Drosophila melanogaster: one gene and its partner. The protein of the gene in region 1 interacts with the protein of each later gene in a pairwise test. Each region holds a gene or a part of one and is shown on either strand. Other genes may lie near its edges.

The links.
Region 2: the proteins of CG13023 (region 1) and CLIP-190 interact in a two-hybrid assay, tested with the Drosophila melanogaster proteins (one large-scale study listed by BioGRID).

What each region holds. Positions count from the first base shown.
Region 1 is NT_037436.4:16,923,375-16,929,420, reverse strand, and holds CG13023 (uncharacterized protein), read left to right. Parts: upstream 1-1,986; 5' UTR 1,987-2,186; intron 2,187-3,435; 5' UTR 3,436-3,436; coding exon 3,437-4,502; intron 4,503-4,558; coding exon 4,559-4,728; 3' UTR 4,729-5,507; downstream 5,508-6,046. Other genes in the region: CG13028 (uncharacterized protein), read right to left, coding at 5,533-6,046.
Region 2 is NT_033779.5:17,383,051-17,388,043, forward strand, and holds the start of CLIP-190 (cytoplasmic linker protein 190), read left to right. Parts: upstream 1-1,964; 5' UTR 1,965-2,445; intron 2,446-2,510; 5' UTR 2,511-2,580; coding exon 2,581-2,845; intron 2,846-3,095; exon of another isoform or gene 3,096-3,279; coding exon of another isoform or gene 3,280-3,343; intron 3,344-4,993. Other genes in the region: Lrch (Leucine-rich-repeats and calponin homology domain protein), read right to left, coding at 420-732. UniProt on the Drosophila melanogaster protein: Together CLIP-190 and jar may coordinate the interaction between the actin and microtubule cytoskeleton. May link endocytic vesicles to microtubules. May play a role in formation of furrows during cellularization.

The DNA.
Region 1 (6,046 bases):
GGTTGGTTGCCATTCAGGAGTTGGCCAAGCGCAAGGGTTCCTTCAGTGAGGAGGACAACAAGATCTATGCCAGCAGCTTACTGGAACTGGGCCAGGCTGCCCAGAGTTTGGCCATGCTCCAGCAAAGCGGACAGATTAAGGACTTTAGTGTTCTGCTGCAGCCGGACATGTTTGGCAATCCTCAAAAGCAGCCAGCCAATTTCGGGCTAGAGGCCACCAACAATCCGGCGGACCAGAAGATCGACGAACAGAAACTGGACGAGGTCACTGAGCAACAATTCTCGCCGGATGAGCAGTTCCTGCCCCCCAACAACGAGGATCCCTATGAGGATGTTAACGATAGTGTGTCCGTAATGGCTCCTAAGAAAGATGCCGCCGTGGCTGAGGCAAAACCAGTGGGTAAGTTCTCTGAAGGAGAGGCTTCTCTTAATTTACTTCTATTAAACCCTCCAATCACCTTTTAGGTCTTTCGATTGCCGGTGAAGGTGGCGTGGCCTCCTCAAAACCGAACGCTGTGGCTCTCTCCGGCCGGAATGGATTGGCCGTAGCTTCGCCCAAGGCCACAGCCATTGCTGGAGTTTCTCCCGAGGAGGCAGCTGCCTTCAGCATTTCATTGCCCACTCGCAATCAACTGGTGATCAAGAGTCCCAATTTGGCTTCGGAGAAGGCTAGCGAAGACTATGACTATAATGATGTACCGCTGACGGTTGCCCGCTTTCCTCTGACCCGGGAAACTCCTCAGCAATTGGTCCCGGTTCGCATCTCTGGAGGGGATTCCCTTGTGGAAAGGTGGCGCACCGCCATCGCAGAGGATTATGCAGCCAGGCAGGCGCTGACCAAGGTGGCCATGCCGCATCCCACACCCTTCATCCGCATGGCTCCCAAACTGCGTCTTCACTCCGAATAGAAAAAGTGCTGTAGGATTGGATGAACGAGATTAAAATTGGATTGGACTTGATCGCAATGAGATTCATACTTTACTTTAAGCAACATATTGTGTGCCAGCTCCCAGATTGCCAATAAAATATGTCTATTTAAATAAATGAATTAATCTGAGATTCTTATTAAAGATCTATACAGGTCAATTAAATATATCATTTATAGCCTATAGCTTAGTTTCTGAATGTTATATAAACAAGTTTAAAAGCTCTAGTCACTTTGTTACAAAATTTTAGACACAAAAATGGCTTGCAAGCGATCGTTGAGATGCAATAATTGTTCGGTCTTTAAAAAGGAACGTAATTACAACCGACTTGCGGGCCAAAGAACTGGAGTTTTCCATACCCTGTTATCGGGCGTTCGAATCACAGACCGCAAATAGCCAGTCAAGATCACGTGAAGAATGCGACAGAGGGACACGGCAACGCATCTAATTGCTGCGGGAAGTGCATACAGTTTATAAGGAATATAAATTTATTTATGCGATTGCGCCCAGCGCATTGAAAATCTCAGGCGAACTGAATGCAAGCATGTGCAAATCTTGATTAATCTTTTCCGCCAGGGCAGGCAACATGAAAATAAATTATCTAAGCGGGCAGCGGATGGAGGGTCGGTCGGCAGGAAGGAACACATTCAATTTGCACCTGAACCAGTTGGCTCCATCGACCATCTCCCATCCGAGTACCTTTGCCCGTCAATGCGGCTTCAATGCGTTCGCCCATGCCATGCTTGACTTCTATTACGCGGCAGGTTTAACAAACTTGATAGGCCCAGAACTTGGACGGGGATGTGGCGAAGACGGCATCTCCGTTGACCATCTGCCATCTGCAAGCGAACCTGAAACCAGAATGTATCTGGCCCGCCAGCTTTGTTGGCTATTCGGGCTTCTTTTGGCTAGCGAACGACTTGGTTCCCCCTTCGGCTTTCCTGCGGGAAGCTGCACATTTCCAGTTCCATCAGGTCTGCAGCTCTTTGTTCTTGGGATAGGTCAGGGTAAGGGGTCTGTGGTCGCACATTATAAAAGGCCATTGCCGAGCAGCACTGGCCACCAGTTTCCTTGAAGTGGTCGCCGTGTTAACACTGAAGACTGAGCCCGTTCATCGTTCACTGCCATTGTGTTCTGACTGACTAGTGATAGTTTAGATTCTTCTTGAGCGGATTGCGGATCGTGTGGCCACCAGAGAACTCCATCAAACTACCTGCCTAGATTTGGGAAAGTCGAGAAAGGCCCCATCAACTACTGAAACGTAAGTCTGACCCTCAATTTGCGTTTATGTTCGGCTTATTTCAAAAAGTGTGCTTAATTCAATCTCGTTTTGCTATGGTCTTAAATTCTTTTAATGGGGTCATTAAACAACTAAGTAAGTTATAGTCTAGGTCTAGCCATAAAATCGCGAAAAGAAAGTAAATATATCCGAAATTATGGGTTAAAGCCATGAAGAATAAAAAATTTAATATTTTTGAAAGAATAAACGTTTTTTATGAGAAAGCTAACGTTATTTGAATGTATTGAAATTGGATGTAAATATAAATATAATATATATATAAAATATTATTAGCCTCTAGCTTCAAAATTAGGGGAGAAAAGACAAAGAAATTCAGAACCTTAGATAGATATAAAAAATAGTTATGAAATATGGACCAAGCTTTTACTTTTTAACGATTGGCTCAATAATATTATCAAAGAAAAACTGGATTATCCCAATGCGAATTTAATTGCTAACAAATTTAAAGAACGACATTTAAGTTGTATGTATGTTATTGTATAATCACATTTAAAGAAATTTATCTAAATATCGAATTTAATCACATAAGTCTTGAAAATAAGATGCGATATTCCCAGTTCGCATAACATATTTTTTTTACGACAAACAAAAGACTTAAGAGCCGAACTTGGCAAGTACCACACAAAGAGCACTTGTAAAGGGGTGGGGACGACGAACTTGACTATCAAGTACCGATTTAAGCCATAAAGCTGCTTTCAGTCATTAGCTAGTATCTACACTAGAAGTGCTAGGCAAAGAAGTTCCAATGGCCTGGCCAATCAATTGCAAACCGGTTGATAGTCCCTCGATCCATGCAAGTACGAGGAGCATCCTGTCCGACCAGGCAACATGCAATTACACACGGACACACACAGTTGCGCAGAGTAACGTTAAATTTAGAATGGACTTTGGTGCGGTGGCAGGAGATCGGCTATAAATAGAGCATTGGCTAGACCCGTTTACAGCACTTGGGCTAAGAAGATAATAATATACAGTAGGGATTCTTCTACACAGAAATATTGAGTAAGCGAGACAATAATTACACTTACTCACATACTTCTATGTACACTTCCAAAAAAAATTCAAAATTAATCTTTACTCACATATGGTTTGGCAACTTATGTACAATATATCATAAAAAAGTATATATATATTAAATTATATATCGAATTATATACGTATTTTTTAAGTATACACCATTCTTTACGACCGACCATTCGACCCCTTACAGAATGTTCCTCCTCGCGGCCTTTTGTCTGTCCCTGGCGGCAATGGGCGGCCAGGCCAGGCCCCTGGAGCCGACGGCCCAGCACATCGTGATTGTGACACCGCAGGCGCAGGTTCACCTGGAGCCCGCTCTACGCTACGTCCACGGACTGTCGCCACTGGCCCGCGTGGCCACTCCGCACCACCATGAGGAGACGATTGTGTATGTGCCTGCTGGAACTGCTGCCCAGGTGGTGCCGGTGGTGGATGCCGTTGGATCTGGCCGTGCTGGCGGTGCTCCGGAGACCAAGCAGTGGGAGAACACGGGCGAGATTGCCAACCAGATACAGCAGGTGTCCCAGCAGGGCGTCGAGATCGTGAGTGGTCAGTTGAGCGAGGCGGCAGCATCCGCAGCCTCCGCCGGAGCGGGCTTCTTCCCCTCGCTGTTCCCACCAAGTGGGTCCAAGAAGGAGGAGCAGCTGCAGGGTTTGAAGACCGAGAAAATTGAGCTGATCGAAACGCCGGCCAATACTCAGCCATTGATTGCCACCGAGGCCAGGCATTTCTACCGTCTGCCCCAGGTCTATCACACTCCGGTGGTGGATGTGGTGCATGGTCCCCTCTACACCTGGCCCATTTCTACCATCCGAGCACGCAGCATCCAGCAGGAACCCGAACCGACGTTGGCATCGGCTGAAACTGCTTTAAAGCAGACTCTGAAGGCTGAACCACTTGCTGAGATCAAGGCGGAGCCACTGGCTGAGATCAAGTCAGAGCCGCTGGCTGAGATCAAGCCGGAACCACAGGCCTTGTTTAAGGAACAGCCCCTGCTGAAGGAACAGCCCGTGCTAAAGGAACAGCCCCTGTTGAAGGAACAGCCCGGGCTAAAGGATGAGCCCCTGTTGAAGGAACAGCCCCTGCTAAAGGAACAGCCCCTGCTAAAGGAACAGGTTTTTGAACAGGCTGCTCAGGAGTTGAAGCCCACTATTCCTGATTCTAAGGAGCAGAAGACCGGCCGTCTGCTGGATCACTTGGACATGAAGCGTGTACAAAAAACTTTGGAGATTGAAGAGGAGATATTGAAGCAACAATGTGAGGTTTTTTATTAAGCACACTTTATTGGTTTGACCATGTCATGTTTTTCACAGCCGCCAGGATTGAGCAGCAGAAGGAGCTGATCAAAACCATTCAGGCCGAGCCGGTCACCAAGCCCATCCAGGCGGAGCCACAGACCAAGATTCTTCCCGCCGAGGCGATCCAGACTGAGCAGCCGAAGCAGCAGGAGATCATCGCCGATGCCATTGTGCCGCAGGCTTAGAGCCTCGGCTGGAACCAGAACTCATCTTTGAATCTCATTCATCCCTTGGGCAGCTTTGGTTCTACGACTGATTCACATAGCTGGCCCGGCGCAATGACGACCGGGTCATGGGGTTTCCCCTCATCCACCATCCATCCATCCACCCACCAATCGTACATTTAATTACTAACAAGAACACACGCATCCGCAACATTTTCCATTTTCCAGACATTAATTAACAGCAACGAAACGAGAAAGAGACATTCATTCATAATTATCATCACGAAACGTTCGTATTCATCATCATCATTACATATTCATTAACCATAACATTGAAAACGTAAAACAGAACAATAAAAAAGTGAATGTAAAATGTAGAATGCAGGGAATGGAAATTTTAGGTTGGATTGGAATATGTGGGAAAATTATACGACTTTTTACGACCTTAGAAAGGTTTTATGAAAGAAACTATTCGAATATGACCGGAATACAAAAAAAAAATAATTAAAATATTTATTTAAGTTTCTACCATGCAAGGCACTTATTTTAGCAATTGATTACGCAATGACAATGACCCCCAAAAATTCGACGAAATTCGCAGAGACCAGAAAATCCCCAGCAACATACAAATATTGCAACTATTACACGGTTGGGTAAATAAAATCATAAAGTGCCCGGATTCACAACCCTGCATACAAAGTAACGTCGAAACGTGCCCTGATATTTGCGAATGAGGGTGATATATTTTTAAAAAATATTTAAATTACAGCACTTTTATCGTCTTACATAGCTAGTTGAATAAATATGTATTAAATAGCGTGAATTCTAGTCTGTATCATCCCCCACTGTAATGTACGCGTCCTGCTCACCGACTGCTATCAGTTCATCATCGTTCTCGGCTTTTGCAGTGGTTACATCCGGAGAATCATCCGGCGGCTGTGTAGTAAGTTCAATTCGCTGCAATCCACCGGGTTTGCTTGTATCCGTAAAGCGATAAACCGAAAAATACGTTTGAATGCGTTGAATGATATTCTCCAGTATGGGCGGAAACTTGTGTTCCACTCCATCTCCATAAATCCTTAGGCTCAATCGCGTTTCGCCACCGATGTCCGACATTTTCGAGGGACTCGCTTTCAGAGCCTGAAGAACTCCTCTCAGCATTACCAGGTCCTGTAGGTTACTGCCACTCTGATTGGGCGCCCTTCTGAGTATTAGTGATCCATTGGGTTTGAATTCCAGGTAACCGAACTTCTCCGTATCCGTGGGAAGTGCTTGGGAATTCGCTTCAATTCCGTTTTTGATCAGGGTCAGTGGTATAATGGCCGCCTGAAGGGCAGTG
Region 2 (4,993 bases), on another chromosome or scaffold:
TGCAATGGAGATGGAAAAACTTCGTTAGCTCACCGGCAACAAACCTCCTTTGCTTAAATGCCGCACCCTAAAGGTATACACATACGCCAAACATTTTCGATAAGCAACTAATTTAATTGCTTTATCAGTACTTGTACATATGTAAACTCTACTTTTACTTTTTCTGACGTCAAAAGAAAACTTTATAACTAACAATTTTCTAATCAACTTTAATACCATTTAACTTTGTAATATAAAAATGTATGCTTTTTCCAATAAAATGTTATTAACTTCGTACATTAAGTATTATTAAGAACAGTTTAAACTTTACTTAGGAAGTAATGAAAACCCAATTTTTTCCGGAGCTACGAAACCGGCTTGAAGAACACCTTTTCTTTGTTCTCCCTTACGAATATACACTATACAATAGCGGTACGCACCTGCGATGACAGTGTCGGTAAGTGAGTACTTCGTTCCAGTCCTGGGAAAGTCCTTCAGCTTGCGATTGGTCAGGATCAGTTCGCCGCTGAAGTGCGCTTCTTCCAGGATTCTTTCCAGGGAGCGCGTCAGCTGGGAATGACTAAGCAGGGCAGACGAGGTGGAGGAGGAGGTGTTTCCAGCGTGGCCTATTCCAGATCCCGATCCTGTTCCAGATCCTGGAAGGGAAGCCGACCCGCTGCCGATGGCGCTGCCAGCGGCGCTGCCGACGCCGACTGCGACGCTATGTAGGCGTTGGTAAACCGTTGCTGCCATTTCCCGTGTAGGCGTGGCGACACTTCCACACACTTGCACACACACACGCACGCGCTAAACTATCACACCGATAAGGAAACGGAGTGAAGTGCCGAAAGAAACCGAAACTGGAAACTAAATTTGCTCTATTGAAACGCACGCATCTCGATTATTTTTCATTTAGTGTACGTCTTCTTGGCTCATTGATAAGATTTCTCGGAATTGGATTTTCCTTTTGCGGCTTCCTTCTTGCTTCCTCTTCTTTGCCTCCTCGCACACACGCGCACTCACACACGCACAAGCTCACGCAGCAGACGAGCGACAGTGCACAACGAAAATCGAAAAACAACTGAATCGGTTTATGGGATGCTACTTGGGCAGCGCTGGAAACGTTGCTGTTAGTTTAAAATCGGCGTGCCTTTGAGTACTATCGATAAAATACCACAGTGCGCCGATGATACACTGGCTCCATTTTTATCGCAATTCGAAATGTCAACAATCTTACATTTTATAATGTAATGTAATGTTTGTTTATTCAGAATGATCTACCGTTTAGCATTTGCCCCTTCAAATTTAGGGCATTATTAGATTACTGAGTCGTTATTACACCGAAACATTTCATATAACTACTTAAAGAAAAAATGAACAAATGACCAGGTAACCTGGTATTGGAACCCGGCAATAAACTGGTTGAATATTAAAAAACCATGTTAGACTAAATTATAAATTCGTTAATTTGTCAGTTGTGTGGGCTCAGATCACAAATCTGAATAAGCTCAGCGACGCTTCCATTATTGGTGACATAATTTCATATTTTACATATTTATATTCACGAATAAATATTCGCCAATTTCCTACAGGGTGTTTTTGTATGACCGCATTACTCTAAAAATACCTCGGGAAAATATAGCCGCAACTATCGATTGGCGCGCTGCACTGGAGCTGTGCTACCATCGCTAACTCAGTGCAACAACAAAATTCCAACGCAACGCCAACTAAGTGCAAAAAAAATCTAAAATTTGTGTAAAATTGTAAAATCCCAATCGCGTATATTTCTAAATCGTATTCGCACAGCACAGTATGTAAAGCACTCCAGTTTATTTAAGTACTGTGTGTGTGTGCGGTAAACACACACCAATAAGAGTGCGTTTTCGCGTCCCTTTTCCCACCCTCTTCTAATGGTTCCCTCTTCTATAACTGTGTCAAATCAGCAGCAACAATAAAATATAGAACAGAGCTACAGCGTGCGTGTGTGTGTGTGTGAAATGCACAAATTGATAAGCAATTTGATTCAATTTAATCTTGTTTAAGTCTGATGAATATCAGCGCAAGCAGCCCAACACAAAATTATAAATAAAAAGTTACGAATTTATATAAATAGAATACCCTTGAGTGATTTTGTTAGTCGCATAAAATTAATTCAATACATATTTGTGTTCCGCATTTTTTGAAAATATAACGAAGTTCTGGCCAACGAGAGCAACAACAAAAAGCGGTCTTGTTTGTTTTTCAAGCTCAACGAAAAAAAGAAGAAAAGAAATCTGCTCTCAGTCAGCTGTTTTAAAGCAGCCGCCTAAGTGCGAGTGAGATAGCTGCCTGCGCGCCAAAATAAAGCAACAACAAAAGTGGAACAGTGGTTCAAAACCTAGCTAAAAATAAAAAAAATCCATTTATTTTTGTAGCAAAAATATAAAATAAAAGCAAATTAAGCGAATTATACATATATTTGTTAAGGTAAGTGATCAGCATTCCATTTATTTTACCAAAAATTATTCTTTTGCACTTGTTTTTCCCCCAAGTTTTTTAAATCGTTTACTTTTAATACGCGTGTGTCCTAATAAGTGAAGATTATTAAGAATAAAGTAAAAAATGAGTGATGATACGAGCGCTTCGGGCGGGACAAGTGCCCCTTTTCCATCGCCAGTTACTGCGGACCCGGAACCAGGAGCCACTGCCTCCAAATTACCGGGTCCCATCAGATCCAATATTCCCACGCCCGCTACTTCTGGTACCGGAATCCCGCAGCCCAGCAAAATGAAGGCACCATCTAGTTTTGGATCGACGGGTTCTGTTTCCAAAATCGGAAGACCGTGCTGCAATCACACAACTCCCAAATCCGGTCCACCACCAAGAGGTAAGTCTAATCGCATTGTGCAACAACGCAAACCAGTTAGTATTATTGCTCAAAGCAAATATGTTACTAAGAGCAGTATTTTTGAAAGTAGTTAAAGGTCTTAATTATCCCCTGGGTTTAATTATCATCCATTTTACAAGCTAGAATTTAAAGCAAGATGAAATTAAAACACATCTGAACACCAATGGGAATTCAACCAGAGCCCCTTTGAAAATCTTGTCAGTGCATTGTCACATACATATTAACATCTTAACAAAGAACATTAATTTCACAATTCAAGAAAAGGGGTTTTTACCGATTTCCACTTTTATACGCGAGTTCTTCACTTATAAAACAGTTGGAAGAAGTCTGATAATTGAATTGCTCTCCGGAAAATATCGCAGTAAAATATGTTTCAATAGTATAGCCCACCACTATACTATCACCAAGTACTCATGAAGGTTAATATTAAAAAATGTACCCACATTCAAATGGGAAAACAGAAACCCAAAAAGAATGGTGAGTTTAAATAATGCACTTTTAAGTTTGACATTGTAAAGGGGTCATTTCATCAAGTTTACTTACTCTCTACCCTCAATACCCGAGATTTGACTACTTTTGTGTTTGCATCTTTGGCTCAAGCAAGTCAAGCATCCGCCTACATATATATATGTGCACCCACAAGATGTAGATTGCTGTATACTATAAGCGAATGCAATGATCTAATGGAAACGATGACAGACCCACTCACTTGCTAAATATATACATACATATACGCTGACCCCACCCCATTTGAGTGCACTTTTTGCACTACATTGAACTTGCAATTATTTCGGCGAGAACTCGCGTAGTTAGTGTAAATTCTTCTCTAAAGAGAAACCATTAATAATTCCCAGCGTCAACTGTTTCGTTTGGTAAACAAATGCTTCACTTCTTTCAATTATTTAATCGTTTTGAAACACCAACGCACAATTCAAAAATAAACAAAACAAATTGCCGCCCACTCTTAACTCTCGATCATAATTATAGAGCTGCCCCGAAAAGTGTTTTTGGTAAGGAGAATTATGGCCAATTAGGCAAGTGCTGCTACCATTTAATTGATCCGCCCAATGTGGCTCATTTCAGGCACGTAACCGCACCGCAGTCGTCAACATACGACGACCCACTGGCCCATATAGCAAACGATCTGCCAAACGATCCATGGATCGATTGACGGGTTTTCTATTTCGCCGGCACACACGTTCCATATCCGATTGACAGTCGCAATGCAACCGCAAAATCGTAGAAATTTATTCCCTGTAAATTTACCCAAAAACACAAAAATTTGTAATGTTTAGGGTTACAGAAAAAACTGAGTCACGAGGTGTATTTAATTTGCATCCATAGAAATAGTTTACACGGCGCTATGTGCACTGTGATCATTTAGATTATCACTTTGTATTAGATTGGTTTTGTAACTAGTTTGTTTGCCCATTTATACATTATTTTTAAAATCGTTTATTGGTCGTTTATTGCACATAATTATTAAACCTATTTCAGAAATTAAGCTGTTTGCTTGGCTCAATGAAAGTCCAGTTTGTTTTGATAGCTCCGAATTTTTTGCTTTAGTACATTTAAATTTCTACGCTGATTTGTTTCAAATACGCCAGTGTTGATCGCCATATCAAAGAGATTATTCCGCATTTTGCCAATTATTAACGAAAACGAAGTGATATACCGCATGTCCCAAATAGTTGAACTACTTTAGTCAATTAGTAGTTTATGCGACGCGCTGCTTAAAACCAAATCCGTTCCAAGCGCCTGAGCGCCTTGATCCGCTGCCCAGATCAGCTTTCTAAAATCTCTCCTAGCATTCTGGAACGGACTGTTTGACTATCTGCCAAGAGACCCGTCATTTGGCCCGCCATACTCAATGCCAAAAGTCTGCGAAAATCTACTCAGCTCAAATGCGACCGAGAAAACCTGGCGACCGGCCGGCAATCTATCTCTACGTCGTCGTTCCCTAATTGAATTTGTTCTGGCGATGACACAGAAAACGTACTCAAAACGTATCTTCTAGCTTGTTCGTGAGCTCAGATCTTTTGAGGTGTTTTTGCGCTGCGCATTTGATGCCGGGTTCCGTTCTCAGTCGATCTGATATGAAAATTGCGGTCGTGGTGCTCGTGGATG